6 separate regions of the Mus musculus genome follow, and regions 2, 3, 4, 5 and 6 are each reported to be linked to region 1. Evidence: microRNA targets listed by miRTarBase, many of them from high-throughput screens and not tested one by one. Region 1 holds a microRNA gene; each other region holds the end of a gene's coding sequence.
The links. Region 1 holds the annotated microRNA mmu-miR-324-3p (CCACUGCCCCAGGUGCUGCU, at 3,751-3,770, shown strand). A microRNA usually pairs through its seed, bases 2 to 8, with sites in the 3' UTR of a target mRNA and lowers its output. Matches are read on the target gene's strand: a 7mer-m8 pairs with bases 2 to 8, a 7mer-A1 pairs with bases 2 to 7 and ends in A, and an 8mer does both.

Region 1 (5,074 bases):
CAAGTATGCCAGTGGGCTGTTGAAGGCGGGACTCATCCGGCACACCGTCAACAAGATTACTTTCTCTGAGCAGTGCTATTATGTCTTCGGGGACCTCAGTGGTGGCTGTGAGAGTTGTAAGTCAGCAGGTCTGGCTGTAGGAGCTCAGGCTGATGTGTGCCCCGGTACTGCTGAGTAGTACTGCTGAGTAAGCGAGGTACCTGAGCTGCATCCCCAAGGGAAAGAGTGCTGCACGGGGCTCACAAAAGCATTTTGGGGCTATTGGTGAGAGTCCTGGCTGTTTCTCTGCCAGAGCAGCAGAGTTTCCTGTTGTAAGCCATCATGGTCTCTGGCTTTTGTCTCGTGGGGAGCTCTGGGGAAATGGCTCAGGTTTCTCTGTTCTCAGGAATCCTGGCCTCCTAAAGCAGGGACCTCTCTTCCATTTTTTTCCAGACCTAGTTAACCTCTCTCTGAATGACAATGACGGTTCCAGTGGGGCTTCAGACCAGGATACCCTGGCACCTCTGCCTGGAGCTACTCCCTGGCCCCTGCTGCCCACCTTCTCCTACCAGTATCCAGCGCCACACCCCTACAGCCCCCAGCCTCCACCCTACCACGAGCTTTCTTCGTACACCTATGGTGGAGGCAGTGCCAGCAGCCAGCACAGTGAGGGTAAGTGACCCACTCCCACGTACCAGTACAGCCAGAGAAAGTGGGCACAAGTAGAGCGGATTCGGGGAGGAGAGGCAAGAGCAGGGACTGGGATCCTGAGGACTCTGGGCTGAGCTTCATTTTCCTCGTCACCTCTGCCCTCCAACAGGGAGCCGGAGCAGCGGGTCGACAAGAAGCGATGGGGGGGCTGGGCGCACAGGCAGGCCTGAGGAACGGGCCCCTGAGTCCAAGTCCGGCAGTGGCAGTGAGTCAGAACTCTCCAGCCGGGGAGGCAGCCTTCGGCGGGGTGGGGAGCCTGGTGGGACTGGTGATGGCGGCCCTCCTCCATCCAGGGGCTCGACAGGCGCTCCTCCTAATCTCCGAGCTCTTCCCGGGCTCCATCCCTATGGAGCCCCATCTGGCATGGCTCTCCCCTATAACCCCATGATGGTAGTTATGATGCCTCCACCCCCACCCCCTGTCTCCACAGCAGTGCAGCCCCCTGGTGCCCCTCCAGTCAGAGACCTGGGCTCCGTGCCCCCAGAACTGACAGCTAGCCGTCAGAGCTTCCACATGGCCATGGGCAACCCCAGTGAGTTTTTTGTGGATGTTATGTAGGGACCCATCTTGAGGCCACATTGGGTCTGTGCCCTTGGCCTGGCAAGTTTCAGCCTGGTGCCCTTCATAGTGCCTGGGCTCAGCCTGGCGGCTGGTGCCTACCAAAACGTTTTTGCCACTGTGACTCTCACCAGCAGTGCCTGGTCCTTCCCCCTCTTCCTCGGGGGTAGATGGGGACCTTTGGTTATTTTTAGCTTTATTTTTTATAAGCTTTTTGGGGGGTTAAAATAGACTTTCTTATATTTGGGGGAGTATTTTTTTAAATAGACAGTTCCTCTTTTATATGGAGAATCCCTTCTAACCCCAGAATATGACCGCCACCTCCAGGTGCCTAGTCAGCTCTCATGTTGAGGGTGGGTGGTGGTCAGTGGTACCCTGGGAAGAAGAAGGTGTGGGCTGGGTACCCCAGACAGCAGTCCAAGGAGGCTGGTGGTGTGTTGGGGACTGTGTAGCTGCCTTTGTTACTCTATTTATTTTAGTCACTTGTACAAAACACCAAATAAAGCAAATAGAGGCCAACTCCCCAAGCCTCTGGCTCCTTTCTTTGCGAGGCAGGCAGTGGAGAGGAGGGAGCAGTGACATTCACGGCAGACAGTGACTTGGTAGAAAATTTATTGTTAAGGCAATAAGTACTCCATCACCCCCATAAAGGGTTTTGGCATCAGAGAAGGCACATGACCTTGCCAGGGCCTGATTGGGAGTCTCAGATTCCCAGGGGGTTACCGGTGACCAGGCCACCATTCTCCACCATGGCCTTGGAGATGCTTCTGAAGTTCCGGAAGAGCTCCTGATGCTGAGGGCTGGACTGCAGACTGGCCATGTTTTCTCGGATCCGAGTTGCAGCCTGGGGAGAGGGAAGGGGAGGGACGGTCAGGCCGTCCTGTACTGGGGAGCTCCAAGGCCCACCTGTACTGGGGAGCTCCAAGGCTCACCTCAATGCACCAGCTATCACAGAGCATTTTCTCATGCTGTGCCGTCGGGTAGCCCTCACTCAGGGACCTTGAGGCTCTGTGAGGAAACAGAGGTTAAAATGATCCTGAGTGCTGGTGTTGGCCCAGCTCCTCTGTGGCTCTAGCCTGCCAAGCGTCCCTCGCTGCCGCCTTACCTGGACAGAACCACCACCATGGCATAGAGGTCAATGGCGCCGTCCGCCAGTCGCTGCAGCAGGAACTGCTCGTCTGTCAGGTAGATGAGGGTGGGGCTGTTAGTCGGAGGGAGGGAATCAGGGAGGGAAGGGGGTTGCAGAGCTCACTCACTGACAATCCCTTTCTTGTGTTTCACCAGCTTGGCCTCCACCACGGTGGCAAATTGATCCAGAGCCTGCACTGCCTGAAGAGACAAGAGTCACAGACAGAGCTCAGGAGAGGAAGGCAGCGCACAGCCACCGCAGGCTCTGCTTTAAGGCTCACTCACCAGTTCACCACTGCGACTTAACTCTGGGTGGACAATCCCTGACAGACTCAAACCACTGCCGATTCCTGTCCTCCTGAGAGGAGATGGAAGAGTGACTGGTCAGTTGCGGCCTCCCATCTTGTTTGACCCTGACTCTGACCCTGGCCCCGGCCCATGAGGTACCGTCTCAGCTGTTTGCCTGCTTCTCCCATCAGGAGGCCAACGTTTCCAAAAGGATTCTTCAGGGCATTGCCCAGCCCAGTGAGTTCCTTTCCTTTGTCCTGTGGAGAGAAGGGGGACGGCGACAGTGAGGACTCAGTGTCCTCCCCAGCTGCTCTCTCTCATCCTCCTTCCTCTTACCATACAGCCTTGCAGAGCCACAAACAGTCGAAGAATGTCATTTGCCCCTTCAAAGATCCGGAAGATTCGAATATCTCGGAGCACACGCTCCACCCCTGGTTCCTGGCACGCAGGAAGACACAGAAACCTCTGTTGAGATGTGCCTGTCCACTCTGAACAGATGCCCCCCCCTGCCGAGGAATACTCTGTACCTTCATGAAGCCCATGCCCCCCATTATTTGGATGCACTCATCTGCCACTTTCCAGGCCGCCTCCTGAGGACAGAGAACCAGATGAGTTGGATTTTTGAGCTGAGGTCCTAATCTGGACTCCGCCCTCCCATCACACCTGGGTCCTCACCGAGCAAAAGATTTTGCTGATGGCGGCTTCTATCTGGAAGTCTTTGAATCCCTGGTCCATGTTGGCACTCAGCATGTAAGCCATGGACTAAGGGAGCATGGTCGGGACATGGGGAAGACAACAGGGAAGGGCTGCATCAGACAGAATGGCTAATGCTCAGACCTTCAAGACCAGTGCTGATCTACTCCTCCAACCCTTGAATTCACTTTAGCCTCCTGGTCAGGTCAAATATGTCCAATATGTGACCCTCTGGTATATCAGGGGCTTCGAGGCTTCCGACTTTGTAAAGGGGTGGGTTAAAAGTCGTGTTTGGTGCATCTGGGCAGCATTTAGCAGAGCAGCACCACCCTCCAGAAGAGAACTGACTATGCCTCCTCGCATCCCCTAGGGCATTGGTGTAAAGCTGGAGACCCACTGCCCCAGGTGCTGCTGGGGGTTGTAGTCTGACCCAACTGTGAAGAAAGCCATAGGGCTCCAGGGAAGGGGCCCAGGAGGCCCTTACCTCAGTCACATACTGCAGAATAGCCATCCGAGCCAGCTTTTCCTGGATCACCCCAAAGTTGTGAATTTTGTCCCCAAACTGGGTACGATTAGTAGCATGATCAACCTGCAAGAGGGCGCATGTTACCCCACTGTGGTTCTTCAGTTTCCACCTGGACGGGCTGGAGGCCTAACTGTGCCGATGGTCGAGTGTGCATGTGTGTGTGTCGGCGCTCTGAGGCAGTCAGGGACATGTGCTAGCTAGGGACTGGGCTGGGACTCACCGCCTTGGCAATGAGGGATTTCATGGTGCCTGCGAGGGTTGCAGCCATCCCGAATCTTCCGTTGTTGAGGATGTTGACAGCAACCTTGAAGCCATCTCCCACCTCTCCTAGCACATTCTCTGATGGCACCTTCACTCCATCAAAGTACACCTCTGACGTGTTAGATGCTTTGATGCCCATCTTCTTTTCAGGGAGCCCACTGAAAAGGCAGGGCAGGAAAGTTGAGGTATGAACAGGTTGCTGTGGGGGAAAACGGCCTTTTCGGGTCTCATGATCAGGGGAGAACTCCCCAGACTATAAAAAGGATACAGGGCACTGCCTATGTGCCCCAGGGGCTACGGATATCTAGCTATGGCCTGTTAGCCTGTGTTCCCCCAGTGGAAACAAAACTGCTCACCTCCTGTGGGTGCCTCTTGTACAGAGATAGCCCCAGCGTGGCCTGTATTGACTATTTGCTCTTGAGAGCCCAGTGCTGTCCCCATCCTTGATTCTGTTTTGCCCCATACTCACTGGGTAACCCCTCCGAAGCTCCTTTCCACTACAAAAGCTGTGATCTTCTCTTTCACGGCCCCCGTGGCTGCATCTTTAATTGGCGTCTTGGCAAAGACAGTGAAAATGTCAGCCAGGCCCCCATTACTGTGGAAGAGTGAGGTGGTTAGTATAGGGTTTAGAGCAGCAGGGTCAGGCCACTGGGCTGAAGGGTAGAAGAGAAACGGAAGATTGCCTGATCCAGATCTTGCTCCCATTGAGAGTGTAATATTTTCCACAGGGGCTGGGTATGGCTGAGCTTCGGATGGAGGCTACATCGGATCCACTCGAGGGCTCTGTTAGGCAGAAAGCAGCCAAAGCCTGCCCTGTGGGGGAGAGAACGGGCTCACTGGGGATCCTGACCACCAGAGTTGCACCCCCTCATCCCCAGGCAGTTCCTTGTAACACCGTGAGCAGTGTCACACTCCTTACCCCTGGGTCTC
Region 2 (5,074 bases), not on the chromosome of region 1:
CAGCAGCCCCCGAGCTGCACCCTCCACAGTGGGCTTTTGTACAGAATGCAACCAGCTGGGCTCTGTGTGGTCGAGGATAGACATCCACTTGGTTGTCTAAAACTCTTCAGTTATGTGTGATCATTAGGTATTTCACTATATATTGCACATGCCTGAAACTCTATTATTTTCTCACGTGAGAGAAAAGAATATGTAGTTCATTACATTTTCAAATGTATGTAACCCAACAGGTCGATAAACCCACCTCACCCAGAATGTCTTATGAATTAAAGATTAAACACAACTAATGTATCTAGCAAACTACAGTAGTCTAGTATGGCTACAAATTTATGCTTTTCGTCTTTTTTGTTTGAACAATGAAAATCATATTGCATACAGTGCATTGAAATGGGCCAGATATTTAAAAAAGAGTCTCCTTAATTAACTAGAGTTCAGCAATTATATATAGTGAATATAGTTCATTTTGTGTTTTTCTGCATAGTAGTTAGGTCTTTTCATGGAAGCAAGAGATCATATAGATTACACCTGTATGATGTGTATAATCTAGAAGTTATCACATGTATGTACATATATATGTATATAAGCATAATATATATAATATAGCAAAGTCAATGCATGCTATTAATTATTAAATTTTATTAAAATTTTGGTTTAAAAAGTTAAAAATATAATAGTTGTAATTTAATGCATTTTGAATTTATATTTATGATATGGCTGGAGATTTTAACATTGTCTTATTTTTTCTTTCTTTCTTTTTTTCTTCCCGTCTCCTCTCAACAGTCCTGGTACCTGGGCTAGCTTGGTTCCTTTTCAAGTGTCAAATAGGACACCCATCTTACCGGCAAATGTCCAAAATTATGGTTTGAACATAATTGGAGAGCCTTTCCTTCAAGCGGAGACAAGCAACTGAGGGGAAAGAACCACAACCATAGTATAAGAAAATTAGGGGAAAAACACCCAACAAAGGAAAAGAGGAAGACTGGACAACAGGGAGAAAGGAGAGAAACTGAAGAAAGAAGACGGTAGACCAGCATTGCAGCACTTACAGTCACTAATTCCCTTAAGGTTGAGACTATAGTGACAGGAAAGGGTCAATGACATCTCACTGATGCTAGACTGCAGCCCCTGCACCGTAGCCTTTGTTACATGAAGTCCGCTGGGAAATAGATGTTCTGTCTCTATGACAATATATTTTAACTGACTTTCTAGATGCCTTAATATTTGCATGATAAGCTAGTTTTCTTGGTTAGTATTCTTGTTGTTTACGCATGGAGTCACTATTCCTGGTTATCTCAACAACGAAGGCTAGGAGGCGGCGTCAGAGGTGCTGGGGACAGAGCCATGAGCCAGCCATTTTATAAGCACTCTGATTTCTAAAAGTTAAAATTATATATATATATATATATATATATAAAAGAATCTCTGTAGCCTTTAGTTATCCGTACAGATTTATTAAATTTTGGCCCTTAACCCAGCCTTTTCCAGTGTGTAACCCAGTTTGAAATCTTAAAAAGGAAAAAAAAAAAAAAAGAGAAAAAAGAAAAATAGGGAAAAAAAAAACAGTTTGAACTCAAAGGCTCTATGGAAGAAATGCCTCTATGTGGGTAAAGGGTTACCTCTGCATGCAACAGTAAAAAGTAATATAATGTTTTCCCCACAAAAGAAACACTTAACAGAGGCAAGTGCAATTTATAAATTTATATCTAAAGGGGAATCATGATTATAAGTCCTTCAGCCCTTGGACTCTAAATTGAGGGGATTAAAAAGAATTTAAAATAATTTTGAGCGAATTTATTTTCCCCTCAGTTTTTGAGGGCATTTAAAATAAGGCATTAAATCAAGACAAATCATGTGCTTGAACAGAAAAAAAATAAAAAATAAAAAAAATATTGAAAACACAGCACTTAGGTTGGCTTAGCTGCAGCCTCCTCAGAGGTCAGATTATTTATTTAAAATTACTGGTTGCATCAAGAACCCATAGGGTGTACAAACGGTTCTATACAATCTGCATCGTAGAGACAAAGAGGCAGGGAAATCCATGTCACAAGGGTAAAGCTCCCCGTGTACAGGCTGGGAATGCCAGGTAGGCTAGGAAAACCCGCTCGCTCTTCAGAGAAGTGCCATCAGGGTGCTGGGAACATGCATGGTGCTTTCGGACATTAGCCTTGTTCAACACATTTCTCGTATTGACAGATCTATAGTGTGCATGGGCAGACACATGCTGCCTCTGTGTCTCTTAAAATTTTAATTAAAAGTACTCTTTCCAGTAATCCTAATTTGCACGAAGATATAATGTCCACATTACGTGCCTTGCCTTGAAATCTAAAAAAAAAAAACAAAAGACAAAAAAAAACCACAAAAGTGACATCACTACACTTGTTTTGCTGCATTTATTATCGTTTTAAATCTTTACCATTTTTATGACAAAATATTTTGTACTCCAGACGAAGAAAAATGTGTGACATCATGGATTTTTTAGACAGTTACACCTTTATCTCACATTTATAAAGCATATCATGGCTGTGTATAGTTGCCGCTTAAAAATTGTAATCGACCAGCAATATTTTCAGTATTTTTGGTGTTTTTTCTATTAACCTTTCATGTTTTTCATCTTCCAATTAATATTTGGGGGGGAGGGGTTTCAAATTTATACGAATTATGCAATACCAAGTTTTGCCTATGTAGGTAGTGCTTTTAGCTGTATTGGTTATTATAGGTAAGTACACAGATTTAAAAAAGAAATAATGTATGCTTTTTTTGTTTGTTTGTTTATTTGTTTGTTTGTTTTAATTGACCAAAGTGGGTACTGCTATTTTTGCAGTGTGATGAGGTCCTTTTGTGTACTGAGAGATGGACAGGGGATTTTTTTTAATATACATATATAAATATATATATATTCAGGGGTGGGTGGGAGGATTTTTAACCCTTTACAGTGTAGCAGTGAAGCACTGCACCCTGAGATGGGCCTGGGCTGCAAAGCAACTGTTCTGCCTACTGTGACAAACTTCAACTTAAACAGGTTTCCCTCCCTCCACCCCTCCCCGTACTTTCCCACCTGGAGTGCAAGCTGAACTCCTTTCTGGTTTCCAAGCTAAGAAACCAGGAAGAAAAAGCAAGCACAGCAAAAGCCTCCTAGAGGCCAACTTAGAGGAACTGCCCTGTCTTATTTTAGTTGTTATTGATAGTTTTTTGTTTCTTTTTTTTTTTTTTTCCTGAAAGTTCCTGAAACCACAGTGGAAAGTGAGCCTGTCTCATATTTGGCAAAGACATTTCTTGAAGTGCCCACATAGCAGATGTTGGCTGTTTCACACTTTTGAGTTTAACACAGGAATAAGCTTTCTTCTACCAAACACATTCCCCCATCTGGAGGGAGAGCTCCCCTAGTCCCTCCCCGCCCTCTGTCATTTTGTTAATGACAGGATAGGCTGCTCCTGTGACTTACTACTTCAAAATGAATGGTGTTGCACCTAGGATCTTCTTCTTTGACATCCAGAAGGTTGACTAGAGAGAGGGTTGCTCTTCTTGGATGTATTTGGACTGATAGAGTAAAATCAAAGTTCAGTTTTTAAGGAACAAGAATAAATCAATCCTCTTATTTTACCTGCCCTTGTAAACTGGAAAGTGGAGCAGAGGGAAATATAGAATTTTAAGCAACCAATTTTTCTGTGGATGAATTAAGTGTGTTTGATAATGATGGTGGGGGTTGATTTGAACGGGTGGTACTTCAAGTATATATTTGAGTTAATTTCCCCTGAGGACTACAGGTGAATAGAGACCAATTTTATTTTGTCTTTTCCCCATCCCCCACCTGGTCCTATTGAGTGTATCCATTGCTCCAAGGAGATCTTTAGGAATTAGTGACATACGCAGTCGGCTGTAAAGAAGCTCTCTTGACCCCACCCCCAGCCCCACCCCAGGCCCTGCCCTAGTAAATAAACTGTCAAGTGTATGCATAGCAGATCATTTAATAGTGAGTTCATGAGAACGATGCTCAGAAGCCCGGGAATTAAATCTGACTAGTCCATTCATGACCACATGCTGGTTAGCACAGTGGGATTCTAGGATGCAGGTTCTAAGAAAGGCCAGCCTTGTCTGTTACTTGCTTTGCAGATAACACATCCTCTCAGCCAAGCTCATAGTGTCTTTCTGACCTATTTGCTGAAGAGTGCAACCCTACAGGACACAGTATTCTTTCCAGGCAGTCCCCTCTCCTTGTCACCCGTGAATGAACAATTGTTGCTAAAGTACATGGCACACTGTGGGCATCCCTGCCTGCCTCTTGGGTACAGAGGCCTAGGGCAACTGTTCCTTTTTTTTTTTTTTTTTTAACCTAGTTCAATGTTTCTTCTTTTCTTTGAGATAAACTTATTAAAAAAGCACTACTATAGAAAATCTCGAATCCACGTTTAGCCTTCTATTTTTTTTTAAAACCAGGAAGTATATTCTGACGAAGGGCCCCACTTTTGCAGGTCTTGCACGCCCCTTCCTTACCCAGACTGCAGAGCTTCAGGATGGTGAAGGTCACCCAAGGGCATCTGTTAGGAGGTGGTGTCTCCCACCACCAGCTCATGGCACTGTCCAACCTTTGTTGTATTGCTTTGCAGCCCACCACTCACAGTGCCTCTAAAGTGTGTGTTTCCCGAAGTGACGTGAGCAGTCGAGACTTGCCTAAGGGGGGAAAAAAAACCTGAGAGGCAGTGAAGGAGACTGTACATAAAGACATGGCAAAACCTTAAGTATAGCAATATAGTTATCGGGTAATTTTCGGGTGGGCAGCTCCATTATAAAGTATGTGAATGAGTCTGTGAAGCTGCGAGGAGAGAGAAGAGCTTGGCCTTCTTAATGAACCGCCTACCTTGTAGACAGTAATTTGTACACTGTATAGTTTTGTTAAGAATTTTTTTTTAAATTAAAATTCCCATGTTTGTAAAGCTAACTTTTTAACAATTATAATGGAACTATATGTTGTTTCCATTTTTAAAGTAAACAAGAATATTCCTTGTTTAGAGACTGGACTCGAGTTAAAACTCTCCAGGCTCTTAAGTTATGTATTAAAAAAAAAAAATCTGTCCAT
Region 3 (5,074 bases), not on the chromosome of region 1:
CATCAGACTTTGCAGTCTTTTTATTTTATGATATTATTAGTCAATTTTTTAATTGTATAAAAAATTTGTTTCTCAGTATGGTAGAATAAATTGTATGTAACAATAGCTAAAATTAATAACATTTATTCCCAGAATGTTGTAACATCAGCAGTATGGTAGAACAGGGATTAACTATGACTACTTTTGTATCATTGGGACAGAGCCACACACATTTGCTTATGTACTGACCATAGCACCTTTTATCACAGTGGAGTTGAATGTTTCTAACCTCAGCTACACGGTTTACAAAGCCTGCAATGTGTACTGCACTGGCCTTTACAGGAAAAGCCTTCAAGACTCTATTCTAGAATCTGGTTTTTACTCTTACCTTTGAGTTGGAAATGCTGTTTTAGAATACAAGAAACATAATTGGGAGATACTTTAAACAAAAGTATTTGTGTTTTTTTCTTTTAAACAAAATAAGGTTCTTATCTAATGTGTTCTTTCCTAAACACTGCAGGTACCAACCAAAAAGCTGAAGAAATATGAAAAAGAATATCAGGCGATGCGGGAGAATCAGCTGCAGCAGGAGGACCCAATGGATAGATACAAGGTATGGGGTACAAAGGACTTCACTTATCCTAGATAAGCAGTTGTGGTGAGTTCAGCTGCTTCTGTTCAACTCTGAACCACTCAGACATGGACAAGCTGACTATGTGTGTGTGTCTTCGTTTTCAACTGAGACAGTCAAAAGTCAAGTATTCAACTATAACATTTCTTTTCTTTCAGTTTGTATATTTATAGGTAACTCCAGCTGTTGAATTTATACTGGGAATCTTCATGAGAAGCTGAAAGAAAGGGAAAAAGAAAGTGGCTTTCTGCTTTCAAAATTGAGGAAAATAAACCAGAAAATGCCAAAAGTACTGTTTTAGCAGTGCACGTTCACTTCCACAGAGACTTTTAGGTGGGACTGTTCCAAGACACTCTCGAGGATATTGCAAACTTGTCCCTGACTATAGCACATGTTAAAAATACAAATTTAGAAGAAAAAATAAAAACCAAATGGTGTATCAAGCACAGTAATGTGATTTCCACAAACAAATCATAGGTAATAGTGATATTTGCATGCAGTTTGAGAATCAAAATTATCTCATTCATAGCTTCATTAGTTCAGGTCTATACATTTATATTGCGTAAATGGTCATGTCAAGCCCAGATTGCCATGTGGCAATGCGATGGGATAGGAGGATCATTCATGTCCAGGAGTTTAAAACCAGGAGCATAGTGAGACCCCATCTAAAAACACAACATAAAACGACGACAAATGTCTCATGGAGCCCAAAGAAGCTGTACTACAACTGAACTGTAACTGCCTTGCACCCTTTTTCTGTTAAAGCAGGCATGTATAAACACTTATAAACAATAACATTATTTGTAAAGTTTCCACTGAGATAAAATTAAACTTTTAAAAATCGGTGTTTTAAGTTCTAGTATTGTAGGGTATGGCTCTTTGTTTGGTGTGGGGTTTCACTTTGACAGGGTCTTGCTCTGTATTCCAGGCTGATCTTTATCCAGACCTGTGCCACCATCCCCATGCTGTGGTAACTTTTATCTGCACATGTCACATGCCCTTTATCGCTATTTTTGTATTATTATAGTTTTCTAATATATTCTGTAATTAATATTTCTGTAACTGTTTTATAATGTGTAGGTTCCAGCGATCTACTTGGCAAACTCACAGTCTTCAAGTTATAATTACATTTCAGGGTAATAATTGCCAACATAATTCAGGCCATGAGCAGATTTTTTGATCCTTTAGATATAGGAAAATCTGGTGTAAGAAGTAATGAAGGTCTGGAGAGATGGCTCTGTCTGGTGAAGGCACACGTTTCCAAGCTGATGACCTGACTTCCATTTCCTGGACCCACAAGTGGAAGGAGAAAGCCCTGACCTTTATACTCACACTGTGGCATATGTGTGCCCACATATAACACACAAAGACATGCCAGCTGGCTGTGGTGGCACATGTCTTTAATCTCAGCACTCCAGAGGCAGAGGCAGGTGGATCTGAGTTCAGGGCCAGCCTGGTCTTCAGAGTGAGTTCCAGAACAGCTAAGGCTACTCAGAGAAAGAAGATCTTGAAGACACTGAAAGCTCACACCTGTTCAGTAACAATTCCTTCTTTACCATTGGAACCCATATTGCATAAATGGTCATGTCAAGCCCAGATTGCCATGTGGCAAGAGTGTTGGGAAGACTGTGAGTATTTAAAAACAAAAACAAAACCCAGAAATGTCATACAATAAGCTGTTTCAATTTGGTGCTATTATTTCTCCCACATCTGATGATATTGAAGAAGGGAAATTGCAGAAAAGTACAGATTGGCATGGAAGAGCTAAGAGTGCATAGGTTACTCTGCTCTCAACACATGTGCTTTTTGCTGGATAAATCTAAACAAGGGCCTAGGGGTATACCTCAGGCATTGCCTAGTATGTATGGGATCATAGGTTCAGTGCACAGGAGCTTGCAACTTCATGCCTCCCATCTGACCATGCTCTCTGTGCCCATTGCATTGTCATTTGATATTGCTGGACTCACTTACATGCAACACTTCAGTTTCAAACCAGGAATAAAGAGAAGAAATGGTGTTGGTATAAATTTGTTTTAAAATTCTACGCATGGTGAAATGTTCAGCAATTGGGTAGTGGTGATGTCTATACAGTTTCATGTAACTGAATTGAATACTAAAGTATGATTTTTGTCAGACATGGTGATAAATGTAATGCTAGCACACAAGAGGCTAAGGGAGAAGGGTGAAGTGTTTGAAGCCAGCTTGAGCTACATATTGAGACCATGACTCAGCAATCCCTCTTTAAAAATCACATGATTTAATAGCATGTAAGTTACATCGAAACAAGACAAATGTTCAAGAATATTGGCCACCCTCTTTCTCTTCTTTCTCTGTCTGTCTGTCTGTCTGTCTGACTGTCTGTCTGACTGACTGTCTCTCTCCCTCTTTTAGTTTTGTTTGTGTGTGTGCTTGTGTGTGTGCACACACATGTATATGCAGATGCATGCACAAGTGTATGCAAATGGGCATGGAGGCACAAATGTCAATGTCTGGTATCTTCCTCAGTTACTCTCTACCTCAGCTTTGGAGGTAGAACTCAGTTTTGGAGGTCACTAATTTCGCTCACCCATAGCTGCTCTGTTGCTGTTTGTTGTTTGCTTCCTCTTAATGTAGGTGCCAGAGACTTAAACTCAGGCCTTGAGGTTTGCATGGCAAGCACTCTACCAGCGGAGCCATTTCTCCAGCCCTACTCTTTCTCTGTGAGACAGTGTCTCCCATGTCATAGGCTGGGCTTGAACTCACTGTGTAGCTGAAGATTATTATGTCAGACATCTGAACCTCTTGCCTCTACTTCCTGAGTGCTGAGACTACAAGAATAAACCACCATGCCCAGTTTATATGATGCTGGGAACTGAACTTAGAATCCAGGGATTCTTGTGTGCTAGGTAAGCACTCTGCCATCTGAGCTGCATCCCCGGTCCTTCCATCATTTCTTTCGTGAGCCACAAGTAACTTGTATCAAAATACAATACTCACGTAGAAGTCATACTTGTGCAAATTTTGTCAAATTCAAGCTAACTAAAGACTTTTGATTATTAATTTTCAGGTAGAATATTTGGAGTCCCCCCCCTCCTCCCCCCACATATATACACTGCCTAATCCAGCATCAAATTTGTACTGAGATGCAGAGAACCCTCAAAAAACTGCTTACAGCCTTTAGTGGAGTCTCTTTCTGCTTAATTCCAGAAGATTCCAAAAGAGAAAAAGGAAACTTTCCAGGAAATGAGTATTCAGTATTATTTTAAAACCTTTTTTATCTTCCTCCTTAACCTGATCAAATGTATGCAATATTGGTTTTTTATCTGATTTTTGGTTTGTAAATTTGATTGAGTTCAAATGGGGTGAAATATGAGCTATAGATGTGGCTAATGATGTCCCCCAAATATACATTTGTGAATAGGTATATCTATGTTATATCACTTCACTTATCAGTGAGCAAACCCACCAAAGCATATAAGAATGTTAGGGACCAGTATCCTTCTCATACACTGAGTACATGGGTCACTTTCAATGTGCGGAAGAGCTTCAGTGGTCTGGCCAGCTGCTGAGGCTTCTAGAGAAGTGCAGCCTTTTACAGAAGGATGCACTGTTTCTCTTGTTTAATTAAGACATGCTGATGCTAATGCAGGTCAGGCCTTCGAAAACACAAGTAATTAATTAAATGCAGTGAATTTCCCAAAGCAGAGTAAAAGCTACCTGTTCTGTAGGGAAAGATCCTGGGAAGAGCGTGGAATGCTTAAACTCTGTTGGGCTTAAGATATGTATAGTATCATAAATATGTAATTTAGAGCTTAGCTATCTAGCCATTGTCAATATGGTTAAATGTAGAATATTTAACTGCCTTTGTGAGCTTAATTAGGTATAGTAAATTTTTTAAAGCCAAAACATAAGTCTAATCAGTAAGTCAGTGGTGAAAGGCTTGCCTAGCAGGAAGCCCCTGGGTTTGGTCCCCAGAACCACAGAACCAATCCAAATCTGAACAGAATATAATTCAGATAGAAATGATTCTTCTGGGCTGGAGAGATAGCTCAGAGGTTAAGCACACTGCTTGCTTTTCCAGTGGTCTTGAGTTAAATTCCCAGCAACCCCATGGTGGCTCATGACTATCTATAATGAGCTCTGGCTCCCTCTTCTGGCCTGCAGGTATACATGCAGGTAGAACACTATACATAAATAAGTAAATGTTTAAAAAAACAAAAACAAACAAACAAAACCCTAGGGACCCAGTATTTCTAAATGACGTGACTTTACGGGGGGGGGGGGGGGGAAGAAGTGATTCTTCTAATGAGTTCTGTAAATCATACTAAGTTTTTCTTTCTTACCTGAGAAAGAGAAGGAGGTAGCTCTCATGTTGTTTTTTACATTAGTGTGTTAGGCTTTCCTTACTAATGGATGTCAAAAGACATAAATTTACTGTGGAAAAAATGTTGTTCTTCCATTGAAAAGTATCATTATCTGTGCTAT
Region 4 (5,074 bases), not on the chromosome of region 1:
TGACAGCCCAACAGAGGGGCCAAGCAAAGACACCTCTGCAGACACAGGCCTCCTCCTTCCAGGAGCCGAGGAAACCATGTGCCACCAGCATGAGAGTGAGGCTAAGTCTCCTCAGGCTGCTGCTGCGGGGGCCACTGCCCCTCCGACTCCCAGGGACACACTGCAACTCTCCATTAAGCAGAGGCTGGCTCGACTCCAGTTGCCACCAGAATTCACCTTCTCTGCTGGCCTGGCTGCAGAAGTGGCCGCCCGGTCCCTGTCCTTTACCACCATGCAGGAACAAACTTTTGGCGACGAGGAGGAAGAACAGCTAGTTGAAGGCGGTGAAAATGAGGTGGAGGAAAAATAAAAGCCAAGATGAAGCGATGGCCTTGATTGTTCTTTTTACAAAAGTGTTCTAGCTGCAAGACTGGAAAGAGAAATGAGTGTGTGTTTACTCTCTATAAGGCTACGGCGTGAATTTACAGGGTGAATACTGATTTGAAAACCTGACCTGAAACTAGTAGATACCTGTCTAGTCAGATCCTTTAGGCATAGGAGAGAAAGGTAAGGGACTTTTTTAAAAAATAAATAAATAAACTGCTGTTTTATTTGTGGCAAAACTGATAATCTTGGCAAATCTTTAAGTACTTTTAATAAGACATGAATTTATCACTTTTTGCCAAAACTTTGCTGCCACAAGGTAACTAGGGTGATTGTCTTCCCGAGCAGAAACATTTAGAATGAGCCCTTTCTACTGTGTCCTTGCAGTGTGAACTGCAGCGGTCATGTTAATACATTGTTCGTACTTTATTTTGTTTATACCACTCGTAAAACAAAGAGACAGGTTCTAAATAAAAGTATTTAATTACCACAACCGATGTGTGCTGGGGTTTGGAACTGGAAAGTAGTTAGCAGGGAGCTGGGACTGCAGCGTATCTTGGACATTTCTCACGGGTCATGCAGAGGTTAAGAGGACAATGTCCTCTTAGGGGACACCCCATGATGTCCAAGCGCTGTCACTCCAGCAAAGGCCCCAGCCCCAGCCCTGCAGGAACTAATTTACATCAGTTTACTGGAAGACAACTGTGCCTCTGCAGTAGGTAGGTCCTGTGCTGTCTTCTAGCCTGGCCTGCCTTACTAAGACTCAGGAAACGCGTCAGCTATCTTGGAAAGCATCCTTGTCCCTTTGTGCTTCATCGTGAATGCGTCTCGAGATGCTTTCCAGAGACCAGTCTTGTCCGCTTTGTGCTGGAATTGTGTTTTCAATGAAATTTGCAGAAACAGTCTCCTTCTGAAACCTGTTGCCACTGTGCGCTCCCAGACTTTATAGGCATTCTTCTGTGAGGAATGTAAGAAAGAAAAACAAACAAAAACAAAACAACAAAACTCAGTTGATGCTGCTGTTTCAGGAGGAAAGTATCTGACTTCCTGTAACTTACTGCTTTTAGCAGGAAGCTTACTTCTTCTCAAGGTTTGTTGTTGTTTTTGGAACTGTTTCTTCTCCTGAGGAAAATCTTTCCCTTTGTCTACACTGTTGGTGATGTTGCCTTTGCTGATACTTAGCAGTGCAGCATGGCCAGAGCCGTCAGTCCCTTAAGTCAGACATGGAAGATGCTTAACTTCAAGAGAAAAGGAAGTTTTTTTAGGGAAATTTTGTTAAGCGTTCTCTTAATTTTTAACACAGGAAAACTTAGTCATTTTTAATTCTTTTAGTCTATTTTGATTCAACCATAGCAATTTCATAGAAACCCATTCATAATCTTATTTGCCAGTTTTTATAGCATGATTCATCTTTTTGGGAGTAGTATTCTGACAGCTTTTACTACAGATACTGCCAACATTGGTTTTACCAGGATCAATCTAGAACTCAGAAGAAAAAAAAAGCGTGCTTTTTGTTTTGGGGTCACTCATGAAAACAGAATTTTTACCCTTGGTGCATCTGCAGATGGGCAGGTCGGGACAGTAAGTGGTCTGTGGTCACCTAGCAGATGGGCAGGTCGGGACAGTAAGTGGTCTGTGGTCACCTAGCAAGCCTCAAAACTTTTTCTCTGTTTCTGTAAGGCCCTGATGTCTGTCAGATGCAGGGCCAGAGTCCTGGCTAATCTTTCATTTGCAGTCCTCTGTGATTTTTTTTTTTTTTGGTTTTTTTGGGTTTTTTGGTTTTTTGTGCAAGCTATGCATATTATCTAACTTCATAAAGCCCTTGTTGTCCTTCTTAAAACTAATTAATAGTCACAGCATCTGAACCTATTAGGAGTTGATGATAAGTGAGTTAGGAAGAGAACACACATTTAAGGCAGATTGCTAAGGATGTTTAAGAATACAGATTTCAGACCGTGACGCGACTTGTACTGGTGATGCCAGCACCCCAGGTGCACTGTTAGGAAGGCTACTGCGAGTCCGAGGCCAGTTGAGCGTGCTCCAGGATAGCCAGAAATACACTGTGCGAACCTGTCCAGGAAGAAAAGAAAAAAGAAAGAAAAGAAAACAACAGGTGCCAGGTGTCTGCAAAAAGAGGCGGGAGTTTGAATCCCAGGCCTTTTGTTCAGAGGATTCAAGTACTGTGACCTTATCATCTAGGGAGAGTCTTCTCAGGAAAACTGTAATTCCTGGAAATGCAGAAAGAAATGTTGGTTTGGAGGCTGGAGAAGTTATAAATGTATAGCTCCATTTATTAAAGTAGATAGTAATATCCTACTTTATATACTAAAAGACAGTTGCTTGAATGGTAAGCATAAGAAAAGTCAATTTCTGATCCATTTAAAAGACTAGAACTTGGCTGGGTGTTGATAGAATTGACCTCAGGTTGTGTCACTCAGATATTTTCTTCCCATGCAAAACATGAATCATGCTTCAAGTTGCTAAATGAATAGAAACACTAGGGGGAGGGCTGTTATCAGTTAGCCATAGCATATTGCTTTTATACTCAAATAGAGCAAGGATACCAGAACCAAGTCCTGAAGCCAAAAGTGAGTTTTTTCCAGATCTGTGTATGGGGACTTATTTGTACTTTATGCTTAAATTAGAAAAAAAGATTCAAAAAGAAAAATGTAGGAAATAAAAGACAGCAAAATGTCCAGTATAGTGACCGTTCATTGTCTTCGTCAGCTGGTGACTAACTTGAGTCCCCTCATCTCTCAGGGAACAAAAGCAAGCCCATGTATTTAGTCCTTGGACTTAACAGTCTGCTTACAGGATCACGTCTCCTTTTCTCCCTTAACTCTGGCACGTACCGGAACTAGCTTAGCCTGTCCTTTGGGAACCGGAACTAGCTTAGCCTGTCCTTTGGGAACCGGAACTAGCTTAGCCTGTCCTTTGGGGACATCAGTTCCTTTGGGGAAGAATGCACACGTCCCCTCTCGGGGACAACTGGGATTGATAACGTCAGGCACTCCTTTGCTGCGAGATTTCACATTGCTTGCTTTTTGAGTCGTGTCTGTTTTTTTCACAGTTTCTCTTACCTTCCCCTATAATCCGCCGTGTTGTGTGCCTGCCTTCCGCACTAGGCCCCTAATTTGCTGCTTTTAATCTGCTGTGGACTGAGAAACCCGATTGCCACGCTTGCTAGAACTGTGTCTAAACTAAGAGTAAGTAGACTGGAAAAGGCCGAGAGCTTTTCTGTCGGTCGTGTGCATGAACCTTGTATTGCCTGGTTTGCTGCTTAGCATTCTTGTGTGTGCATTTAGTGTTTTACTAAGAAGTGGCTAAGACATTACTTGGTTAAAAATGTGATTGCCGTGTATTTGAAATATTAATTTGGTGTTTGTATGCTGATGTGCTAGGTCTCTTTATCAATGAATGTAACTGTAGAAGAAAAACCGACTCTCCCCTTTGTATGTCACTGTGTGTGTTTCAGAAGAATGTTGGCCATTTGTTTTGGTTAATTAGTTTTCACTCAGTACACAGGCTTAAAGTTTATGTCATTATTCCGAATTCTGCATAGCATGTCTTATTACCAAGAGTTACTGGTTTGAAACTAAACCTGACTCATTTAGTAAGAACTGGCAGACTTGACAGGGGAATAAATGATTTGGACAGCCCAGTTCTCTAGCAATGTATGAAATACACCATAATCTTTGCTATATTACAACGGTTATCAAGGAGCTGGGGAGATGACTCACTGGGTAAAGTGTCCTCTAAACAAGTACGAGAATGAGAACCTTCACTCAGATCCCAGTGCCCATATAAAAGAGCTGGGCATATATATGGCATACATCTATAACCCCATGCCTGGGGTTAGAGTCAGAAAAATCCCCAGAAAGTCTCTGGCCAGCCACTCTGGCCTCATCAGTGAGAGTGGTCTAGGGAAACCCTAAACATCAACTCAACCTCTGACTTAGCCCATATACACACATGTACATACACATGAATATGTGTGTGCATACCCTCTTGTATACATGTACACAAAGACACAAATTCATCATCATAATCATCATAGCCATTGGTTTTTTGAGACAGGGCTGCTCTATATTGCCTACCCTGGAACTCATTATGTAGACAAGGCTGACCCTGAGATTTGCCTGTCTCTGCCTGCCAAGTGCTAGGATGAAAGACATGGACTACTACAGCCAGCTCAAAATGGTCATTATTAACACGGGTTGTTATCCTCTGGTACACTAAACGCCAAGAACTGTCCCTTTATTAAGTTCCATTTGACTTGACTGGGCTTCAGTCATCATGCGTTCAGTTTTGGTAGGGATTCCTCCGTTCCTGTTACTGCAGATTAAGTGTGCGTGAATTAGCGGCCCTTGTCCGCTCTCACGCATGCCTTCCGACCTGCTGTGAAGACTAGATGACTCTGCTAGTTAAGCTGTGTAAGGTAAGAGCAGGCAGATGCAGAGTGACAGGCATACTGCTGACGCTCACTGACTCTTCTGAAGGATTTCTTATGACGTGCTGGATTACAGTCTTTGACCCAGTGAAATTGCTGGGTTAAATGCCTACTTTCAATATGAAAGTATTGTTATACAAGATAATTTTCCCCAACATCTTGCCTTCTCTAAAGTTGGTTCTATACCTGTAACTCTTTTGCAGTGATTACTGTCATATATACTTTCCATTTGAATTGGAAACCACATGCTGTCCTGAATTT
Region 5 (5,074 bases), not on the chromosome of region 1:
AAGCAGAGTCATCTCGCTGCCCCTATTTTGGTGGTTTCTTTTGCTTTTATTTAAACTTTATTTGTATGAGTGTTGTTTACATGTTCACGTGTGTGTGTGTGTGTGTGTGTGTGTGTCCCATGCATTCCTGGTGCTTGTAGAATTCAGAAAGCATCATCAGATCCTACGGAACTGGAGTTAGAGATTGTTGTGAGCCATGTGTGTGCATGCTTGAGCCCTCTGCTGGAACAAGTGTTCGTAAGCATTGAGCCATCCTTTATATTTTTACTTTTATTTTATTTTAATTTTTATATGGAATTGTCTCTAAATCTAGCCTCCACTAATGAGGGTAGTAGTGGGTCAGCGATGGATCACACTGGCTCCCGAAAGACTTCCCACCCTTACTACCCACAGTTCCCTGGAATAGGCTCCTCCCCAACTTTGACTTCTGCTTCAGAGAGCGTCAGGGTGAAAAGGCTCCAAGAAAACTCTCTTGGGCCACCTGTTCCTATCCTTGGACTTTCTGACATTGACCTGGTGCTTCTGGTAGCAGCTCACCTTCATCATGAGTGCTACAAATGTCTAGAATTCTGAGATGATGAGGACCCTGTCAGGCAAGGTCCCCCATTCCAGAAGTGGGACAGAGTGGAACTTAGTGATTCCCTTGTTCCCTGGTTACCCCACGATCATGGTAATTATCTCTATTGTCCTCCCGCCCCGAGTCTCCCTGTGATTGTGTGCCTCTACTGCTCTGCTTAATCGCTACCTTTGTGGCAGCTTCATCCGTACAGATGTAGAAAGAACCAGTGAGAGGCACCTAGTCCCTCTCTGTGCCTGGGTGTCTTCATCTCTAGAGGGCTGTGAGCAGGCTAAGCCTTAAAATGCCCATCCCGTCTGTACAGTGGTTTTACGTTACTGCAGCCACCCAATTGTAGCAACCAGCAGTTTGAAGTTTTGATCACAAGACTATTCTTTTTTTTTTTTTTAAAGATTTATTTATTTATTATATGTAAGTACACTGCAGCTGTCTTCAGACACTCCAGAAGAGGGAGTCAGATCTCCTTACGGATGGTTGTGAGCCACCATGTGGTTGCTGGGATTTAAATTCCGGACCTTTGGAAAAGCAGTCGGGTGCTCATACCCACTGAGCCATCTCACCAGCCCACAAGACTATTCTTAAAGGCGGGCGGGCAATACCGGCTTGTCCTTCTACGAAGTTTCCTGCTTGGGTGATAGATCTTATCACTGCTTTGAAATCACCTGCTCTTCTCTCTTTTTTTCCCAATAGGCATCAGGTTTCTGATGTCTGCAGAGTAAAGGTCATGGATGAATTGTATCCAGACTGGGTACTTTGTACCCGAGTGACTGGCTCAGCAGAGTGGCTTATGTAGAAGGGATGCTACAGTAAGCCCAGCTAGCACCAGACTTCTGAGTCATGGGCACCTAGGAACCATTGGCTAGTGGTATCCCTGCCCAATCTGGACCAGATATTGTCTCTAGGAAAGCCCCCCCCCCCCCCGTCCCTTTCTATGAGCAAAGCAATACTAGCTTGGTGAGTCAGATCTCTCTCTTGCTTCCTCTGTATCTCTCATACCTTTGTCTCTTATTTAGTCATAAGCGGCTTCATTACTGTCCTGGAAGAATAAATACAGGCTTGATTTTTTTTCCTGTTTCATCAAGATATAACAACAAAAAACGACAGGAAAAATACAGACACAAGCTCCTTAATTTGTATAACAGAAAAACCAGCAGCCAGCCATGTGGCACAAGCCTGCTTCCCAGTTAGCACTTGGAAGGTCCAGTGGAAGAATCAAAAGTTCAAGGCCAGCCCTGGCTCCAGGAAACTGAACTTCTTCTCCCTAATCCTAAAACAGATAAACAGCAGCCAAGCCCAGCTGATAGGAAATACTTAGCCTGCCTCTGAAAGACACACGGGGCAGAGAGAGGCACATGTTTCTGGGACTAAAAGAACATAAGGGTCAAACCATCTACTCTTTTGGAGTCTGTTTTCTTACCTTAAAAGCAGATGGTCTGGAAGATGTCTCAGTTGATGCAATGCTTGCTTTGCAAGCATGAGAACCTGGGTTTGACCCTCTAGTATTCTTGCAAAAGCAGGTGTGGCGGGGCATGTCTGTAATGCCATCCCTGGGGATCACTGGTCATCCAGCCTAGCATAACTGGTGAGCCCTGCCAGACCATGGTTTTTCTCAAAAACCAAAGTGCATGGTTCTTGAGGACCTCCAGCCTCTGTATGGATCCCCACAAGCCTCCAGCTGGACAAAAGCTAGAACAGACCTAATAAATCTGCTGATGGGGTTGCGACGCAGCGTGAAGTTGCCTCTAAAGCTAAAGAGAGTCCAGGCACCTTCAGTCCCATGTATCACACTCAATTGTTGTGCAGAAGGGGGAAGGGAAAGGAAGGGAGTACTCCCTATGGCCTGCAAGGAGGAAGGAGCTAAAGCTCTAACCCCTGACACACACTGTGACATCAGAACTCCTCGTACCTGCTTCCTGTGGGCTGACAATGTGGCCTTGTGGGCACGAAGGGGAATCAGGGTAGGTAGGGATTTTAAAAATCAGACTTTGTGGAGGACCTGGGTTGGGTTCCCAGTACCAGTTTGGGCAGCTCCCAAATGCCGGTAACTCCATCTCCAGGGGCTCTGTCCTCTTTTGGCCTTTGTGGGCAACTACAGTCATGTGCACATACACACAGGGGCACATTGCATACACATAATTTTAAAAATCTTTTTTTTTATTATAATTGAACTCAGGACTTCTGAAAGAGCAGATAGTATTCTTAACCTCTGAGCCATCTCTCTAGCCCATTAAAAAAAGTCTTTTATAAAAAAAATCTAACACTTATAAAATGAATTTTGATAAGTGTACATGCATGCATGTATGTGCACCATGTGTGTGCCTCCTACTCTTGGAGGTCAGAAAAGGTCATTAAATCCTCTGGAATTGTAGTTACAAATGGTTGTGAGACACCATGTGGGTGCTGGGAATTAAACCAGGATCTTTGTGGTGTGAATGTGCTTGGCCCAGGGAGTGGTACTATTAGGATGTGTGGCCTTGTTGGAGGAAGTGTATCACTGTGGGGGTGGGCTTTGAGACCTTCCTCCTAGCTGCCTGGAATCCAGTCTTCTGTTTGTCTTCAGAGCAAGACAGAACTCTCAGCTCCTCCTGCACCACGCCTGCCTGGATGCTGCCATGCTTCCATTTTGATGATAATGGACTGAACCTCTGAACCTGTAAGCCAGCTCCAACTAAAATGTTGTCCTTCAAAGAGTTGCCTTGGTCATGGTGTCTCTTCACAGCAATGGACACCCTAACTAAGAGTCCTCTAAAGTACTCTTAACCGCTGAGGCATTTCTCCAGCCCTTCACATTCCAATGTATCTATAAGAGGAAGAACAATTGCTGGGTTCACATGAAAGAACACAGCAGGGCTCAGCTCAGCAACAGCCTGTTTGCCTGGTGCATGCAAGGCCTGGGGCTCCACAGCCGACACTGCAAACCAAACCAAACAAGGTGGACCCACTCAAGTCAGGGGATCTGGACGCTCTCAACGGCAAGGATGCAGGGTTCCCGGCATCACGACCTCCCAGTCGTGAGATGAATTATCCTAAGACGCTGACGGGTGCCCTGGCCTTGTTGTTTGAAAGCAGAGGAAGCAGGAGGCTTCATTCATCTTTCCCAGGGCTCCAGGCAGGAGTGCAGGGGGCCCCACCCCAGTGAACAGGCAGTAACAGGGCCAAGAAAGAAAGCTTATTTATATTATAGTAAAATTAAAAAGCAGCATCTTTTTTTCCATAAAAGAAACATTATATGACATAAGTCAAAATTTTCGAAAAAAATAATTTCCATCTAAACCTATAAAATATGAGAAGGGTTGCAGAGAATAAGAATGAACGTTTTTGATTTATTCAAAGTTTTGATCTAAAACCTTAATGAAATCTACCACCTTTATTACAAGGGGACCGACGGTTCTTGAATGGAAAGAAACAGGGTCGAGAAAGATGGCACTGGACACTGGAGAAGTGACCCACCGGCTGAGGGCGCAGGAGGTTTGGTCCGTGGATCGCTGCCTGGCCGAAGGCGCGCTGTGTTGAGACTGGACGTTGGAGCTGCTTGAACAGTATAAATTTGCGTAAGAAAACTAAGGATGGCCAATAGGGCATAGACTCTATTTCAAGTCAATGATGTCTTCCTCTGAGGAGGCCATGAGCTGGAAGGGGCTGCTGCCTGAGCCCGGGCTGCCCTCTTTATCCACCCCAGCGTCCTGCTCAGAACTTGCCCAGTGGTTGTGGCCCTCGGGATTGGCTTCTGATGCCGGACTTTCCAAAATTCCTGATGGGATCCTGGAAGAGAGAAGCTGCTGTCACAGGGTGGGAGGACCGAGGTGAACAAGTGCAGGGTTTCACTTCTTAGGGAGTCTGTGATCCCACAAATGCCCCAGAGCCCTGAATGCTGCCCTCCACCCTGTCCACGTGACCTCCTGCGGCCTCCCTAGCACTCTGTGAAGCTGGTCCCTTCTTCTCTGTGTCCCTGGCCATGCACCGTGCTCAGAGCAGTGGCTCAGAGTCCTGTTATCTGTGCCCGTTCTTACCATGCGGTCCAAGCCAGGCCTGTGCTGCTTCCTCTGTTCTTGACCCTTAGCCAAGTGGGCCTTCTACCTGCCTTCCTACCATGATTTATTGTTGTTGTTGTTTATCATTATTTTTATTTTATGCAAATTGATGTTTGGTATGCATGTATATCTTTATACCTGTGCATCTCTGTGCCCTGAGAGGCTAAAAGAGGGCATTGGGTCCCCTAGAACTGGAATGACAGATAATTATGAGCTACCATGTGAGTACTGGGAACTGAACTGAGTCCTCAAAGATCAAACAATAAATGCTGTTAACTGCGGAGATATCTTTCCAGCCCCTTAATATTATTACTGTGAACCAGGGTCATGCTAGCCTTGAACTTACAATGATTCTTCTGTTTCTACTTCCTAGGTGCTGATATTCCAGGCCTGAGCCATCATGCCCAGCTACTTACAGTGGGTTTGTTGCTGTTTGTTTAACACTCTTTATTTGTTAGGTGGTGGT
Region 6 (5,074 bases), not on the chromosome of region 1:
ATCATATATAGTTGTATGTCTTGCCTGTTAAAATATTGGTTGAGGCCGGGCAGTGGTGGCGCACGCCTTTAATCCCAGCACTTGGGAGGCAGAGGCAGGCGGATTTCTGAGTTCGAGGCCAGCCTGGTCTACAGAGTGAGTTCCAGGACAGCCAGGGCTACAGAGAAACTCTGTCTCGAAAAACCAAAATAAAAAACAAACCAAAATATATATATATATATTGGTTGAAAAGTTTTTCATTATGAACATTTTTTGTATGACACTGTGTCTTAATATCTTGTATGTCTGTCATTTAAGTTTTCAAACCACATTCATGACTTTATTTCGATTTTTGTCATTGCAGGCAAGAAGACAGCAAGACCCTAGTCCTGGTTCTAACTTAGGTGGCGGTGATGATCTCAAACTTCGTTAAGTGGAGCACAGCTTATGTGCCCCATCTCTACACACACTGCTTCTAGTTGGTATAAATAACTCATTGGGCGACCAGAAACTGTGACAACTGGAGGGACTGCAGTTGGTTTCATGGCCTGAGGCAGTGAAGACGTCACCCACTGCCATGGTTTTGCACTATAATGCCTGCATTTCTAATTTTTAAAATATGTAGCCAGTAATAATTTGAAATTTTTTTCTATGCAAGCTTATCTTGTTGGCATTATTTTAGTTGTATCGAAAGTATATACTTTCTTCATTTTAACTTAAAAGCTCATGTCATTTAGAAACAAGATAAGAAATTAAAATTTGTATCAGGGTTGCTTAACATTCTTTTATACTTTCAGACGAGTTGGTTATACAGCTTTCCTCCTTAGATAAGGGTTCTTGGTTTTTGTTTGTTTTCTCTACATCATTTCGTGTTTTTGTATTCTGCACCATTTTACAAATGAAGATGTGTTTGCAGTTATTTTTTCCAGCTATAAACCTAGAATAGAGCTGTCTGCCACAGCCTCCTAAAACAAACGTTTACAGTTGTTAAAGCCACAGTATCCTTTCAAATGCTGATAGTCACCCTATCCCCTTTAGACAAAAATTCACATTAGTATTAAATTTTGTCTCAGACCCTGTTTCAAGGTATATCTTGTAATCATGAGTTTGGGTAGAGATGCTCTTCACAGGTGAGAATGCTCTACAGAAATGCCCAAAGAAGCCACAGACTGGCTTCTGTTTTATTCAGGGATTTTTTTTTTAATCAGTCAGAAAAAGGATACTGGAACTTGTTGTATGTAACAGCATATTAAACTGGAGGCAGTGATAAATCAGCTACACAGGTAAATTGTGTTAAAATAATGTTTAAGATAGCTGCTTTCATGTGTATTTTGTATTTTGTATTGCATGCTTTTGTAGAAACAAAATTGGGTGATGAAGATGAGTCTTAGAAAATGTTCATCTGGGCAGAAGATGCATTTCTCCCATTGATTCCGGGCAAAACATTCACAGATATAGATGATGGTATTTTACAAAAGGACTATTAATAGTGCCTTTTGAGATGAATCAATGTAACGATATTTTTAAAACAGGCTTAGTGTCAAATTGCAATTTTTTAAATATAAAACTGGAAAAAGTGCTAAGTCATTGGCACATGCTTACAATACTTTCCGTGGTCGTATTCATTAAATGTTACTACATTTCTGAATTTTTGCAAAAATGTATTTTATCATAAAATGGCATTATTTTAGAAAATTTTAAAAACTGACATGGTCAATTCAGAAAAGTCTGAATAAGGTCATTGCATTTAAAAAGCATATAAAGATACTTGATTGTGGAAGTGTGTCTTTCATTGTATATAGGTCTTATAATTCATAAACAAGTACCCTGTATCTCAAAATAAAAATATTTGTTATATATTTGAAGTCGTGCATGATAAGGATTGTGTTTGAATTATTATAAACAATAATGTGTTACAGAAGCTGATGCTGACCTTGTGTTACTGAGCACTATGAATGAATTTGCTTGGTATTTGGTGTTGTACAGCTCACATGTTTACACTCTCAGTGCCCTGATGCCTCTCGGGAGTTACCTTTTTAAAGTGATCCTTTCTTTTTTAAAATAACATCTCGGTGGTACATTTTCTCTGTTGCTTCTCGCCAAGAGCTTCCAGTCCGGCAGTCAGTAAGATCACATGGTGTTAATGTGGCCGTCCCTCTGTAAATAGCAAATGTTCCTTACTGGTTCTGCACTGCTTCTGTCTGTCTTAATGCTGGCGTTAAGATCATAAACTCCTTTTCTTCGGTAGTGCAGGCTTTGAAAATTAAGTTATTGATGCAATTTCATATTTTTCATAATCTGTATTTAAAATGACATCATTGCATCATTTTTTAAAGATTCATCTCCATTAAAACTTGCCTTAAGCTTCCAGATTGCTTTGCCGTTAGCTTTACTGTATATTTGTATGTTTTATTTACTTTCACATTAAAATTCTGTGTACTGAAAACAAAGTCATGACTCTTTATTGATATGTGATGATTTCTGTCTTACTAGCTTCAAGTCTTTGATCCTTTATAACAGTTTTTTTAAGGACAGCAACAACAGTGCCATCTAGTGGTCATATCTTCTAACTCCTTTAAATCAATGTACAGTAACTTCCCATTACATGATGTGGTTTTCAAAAAGTCTGAAGTTGAGTGTGGATATAGGAAGTAGGGGCAGGAGGATCAAGAGTTCAAGGTCATTCTTGGCGAGTTCAAGGCCATCCTGGGCTGTTCTCAATAACCAAAATAGGCTAGAGAGATGACTCTGAAGTTAAGAGCTTTAGTTATTGCTGAAGGTTATAGTAGGAACAGGAGTGTGATTCCCAGCACACAGAATAGTCGGCTCACACTCACCTCAGTACCCAGGAATCAAGCGCCTCTTTCTGGCCTCTGTGAACATAGCGCACATCCACATGGATACACAGATGATTGATAAAAAACAAAAACTTACAAAGGTTTTGTAAGTATAGACTATGAAAATGGGGGCGGGGAGGCTGGAGAGACAGCTCAGTGGTTAAGGGTACTGACTACTCTTCCAGAGGTCCTGGTTTAATTCCCAGCACCTACATGGCAACTCTGTATATAACTCCAGTTCCAAGGAATCTAAAGCCCACATATAGCCTCCTTTGGCTCAGGTACAAATGTGGCACCCAGACATGCCTGTACATAACACCCATACATACAAGAAATAAAATTTTAAGACAAAAACTTAGGGTCACATCTGTAACCCTGTTCTTAGGCAGCTGAGACAGGAGGATCACCATGGATTTATACCATAGAGACCAGATCTAGAGAAAGCCCCTCCCCTATCCACCCCCAGGCAACAACAGTCTCAGGGGTTTATCCATTTTCTAAGGTATGACCTTAAAACAGTGACCTCGGGGGAAATTTCTAACATTATATATCCTTCCAGGCTATTTTTAGAAATTATTATGTGGGTATTAAACCCAACATTCCTAGAACAGGGATCTACATCAGAAAATTACTTTAGAAGCATTCCATAGGTTTGGTTTGTAATAAACAGGTTTTATACAAATAACAAAACACCTGCCCGGCGTGGTGGCACACGCCTTTAATCCCAGCACTCGGGAGGCAGAGGCAGGCAGATTTCTGAGTTCTAGGCCAGCCTGGTCTGCAAAGTAAGTTCCAGGACAAAAAAAAAAAAAAAAAACCTTATATACTAAATTGACACAATTAGGATTTTGAACCAGTATCAGGAAGACCAAAGCAGGAGGATTGTGAATTTAAGACCATCCTAAGCTATGCTACATAATAAGACCCTATTTAAAAAAAAGTATTAAACAATTTTAAATTTCAACTATAAGAGAGGGTGAGGTGAAACCACTGAAGCAGACCAGTTCACAAGTAGAACGGAAGGTTTGCTGGGGGTCAGACTGCCAAGGCTATCTGTCAGGAGTTGGGGGACAGAAGAGCAAAATGGGGGAGAACAAGCCATTTTTACTGTGTTAACAGTGGGATCTTTGAGCTGCTGATATAAACTGGATTGACCAGGACCTAGATGCCTTTACCTGAGGTAGTTGACCTTTAGGGCAGTCGATTAAGAGAGGCTCCTGGTGGCTTAAATGAGACTCCTGATAAATAGAAACCCAGAGTTTCAGACAATGCCACAAGCACTGCCCTTTGGGGGGGGGGGGGGAGCTTTGGACCTAACACTATATATTAAAATGACAATATTTAAGGTAGCTAGCTACGAAGGAATTTTAAAATTGCTTATATTGCTGCTATCAATGTTAGCGAGATTATAAATCAGTAATGAATTATAAAATGGAAAGAGCTCAAAGAAAATGTTGAAACTATATTAATGGTTTTAAAAAGTATTAAAGTATCTGAGGATGGAAAGATAGCTCAGCAGTTAAAAGTACTTGCTCCTGCAGTGGATCAAGGTTTGGTTCTCAGCTTTCACATGGTGTCTCAATAACCATCCTACTTCCAGCTAGCAGTGGCTAGAACAATCTTTTCTGAACTCCATGGGCACTAGGCATACACAGTATTACATATAATACATGTGCAAGCAGGACACTTAATCATTGAGGATAGTTTAGAAGAAACAATATAAAGTGACTGCCCTAAAAAGACATTGTCTCTGACCTCCTGGAACCTAGTCTATGCCCAAAATTGATCCAATGTAGTAGCAACCTTTAAATTATATAGGAAGCCTTGGCAGTTGCACTGTCTGTGCTGGTCTGGGTAGTTAGAGTCAATCAACCTGAGGAGACTTCCAAGCCGAAAGCTACAATCAACTAGAGAAGATACTGAATGCACATAGCCGGCTGGTCAGAGCTTAGCAGGTTTGAAAGAGCATCAGATAAGGGCTACAGCATGGGTGAGACAGGAGCAGTGCTCAATGTATTATGTCAATCAAATGGAAGACATTTGGACCAGGACAAGAAGTGGCCAACAGATTAGGAGGTTTGAGAAATTTTTTGGTTAAAGATCAAAGTGATCTTTTAGATATAGTGGCCTGGTGGGTATGGAGACTCAGTGTTAAGGGGGAAATGTATAGGCACTGCAATTTTTAAAAAATTGTACCTTTTTTTTTTTTTTTTTTTTTTTGGTTTTTCGAAACAGGGTTTCTCTGTATAGCCCTGGCT

Region 2: miRTarBase lists Nfib as a target of mmu-miR-324-3p. Seed matches in the 3' UTR shown: 7mer-A1 at 2,938-2,944 and 8mer at 4,694-4,701.
Region 3: miRTarBase lists Rabgap1l as a target of mmu-miR-324-3p. The part of its 3' UTR that is shown has no 7-base or 8-base seed match.
Region 4: the mRNA of Vezt is a reported target of mmu-miR-324-3p. Seed matches in the 3' UTR shown: 7mer-A1 at 5,013-5,019.
Region 5: miRTarBase lists Garnl3 as a target of mmu-miR-324-3p. The part of its 3' UTR that is shown has no 7-base or 8-base seed match.
Region 6: miRTarBase lists Cbfb as a target of mmu-miR-324-3p. Seed matches in the 3' UTR shown: 8mer at 532-539 and 8mer at 1,239-1,246.

Annotation. Positions count from the first base shown.
Region 1 is chr11:70,008,345-70,013,418 of GRCm38, forward strand. It overlaps Mir324 (microRNA 324), which reads left to right and starts at 3,699; the gene lies at 3,699-3,787. It overlaps Dvl2 (dishevelled segment polarity protein 2), which reads left to right. Exons shown (of 15, transcript NM_007888.4): 13 at 1-116; 14 at 433-651; 15 at 800-1,765. The coding sequence ends at 1,248. It overlaps Acadvl (acyl-Coenzyme A dehydrogenase, very long chain), which reads right to left. Exons shown (of 20, transcript NM_017366.3): 8 at 4,828-4,957; 9 at 4,614-4,739; 10 at 4,104-4,302; 11 at 3,842-3,946; 12 at 3,340-3,426; 13 at 3,192-3,254; 14 at 3,001-3,102; 15 at 2,824-2,921; 16 at 2,662-2,734; 17 at 2,505-2,577; 18 at 2,354-2,426; 19 at 2,181-2,256; 20 at 1,839-2,092. The coding sequence ends at 1,952.
Region 2 is chr4:82,292,518-82,297,591 of GRCm38, reverse strand. Nfib (nuclear factor I/B) reads left to right here. Exons shown (of 12, transcript NM_001113209.2): 12 at 781-5,074. The coding sequence ends at 910. Among named protein-coding and RNA genes, the nearest start is that of Nfib, 210 kb to the left of the region's middle.
Region 3 is chr1:160,252,961-160,258,034 of GRCm38, reverse strand. It overlaps Rabgap1l (RAB GTPase activating protein 1-like), which reads left to right. Exons shown (of 21, transcript NM_013862.5): 20 at 500-592; 21 at 769-1,463. The coding sequence ends at 783. Among named protein-coding and RNA genes, the nearest start is that of Mir1927, 40 kb to the left of the region's middle.
Region 4 is chr10:93,965,468-93,970,541 of GRCm38, reverse strand. Vezt (vezatin, adherens junctions transmembrane protein) reads left to right here. Exons shown (of 12, transcript NM_172538.5): 12 at 1-5,074. The coding sequence ends at 349. Among named protein-coding and RNA genes, the nearest start is that of Mir331, 4.1 kb to the right of the region's middle.
Region 5 is chr2:32,982,492-32,987,565 of GRCm38, forward strand. It overlaps Garnl3 (GTPase activating RANGAP domain-like 3), which reads right to left. Exons shown (of 30, transcript NM_001355200.1): 30 at 3,734-4,339. The coding sequence ends at 4,165. Among named protein-coding and RNA genes, the nearest start is that of Slc2a8, 2.9 kb to the left of the region's middle.
Region 6 is chr8:105,215,561-105,220,634 of GRCm38, forward strand. Cbfb (core binding factor beta) reads left to right here. Exons shown (of 6, transcript NM_001161458.1): 6 at 344-2,429. The coding sequence ends at 366. Among named protein-coding and RNA genes, the nearest start is that of D230025D16Rik, 7.1 kb to the right of the region's middle.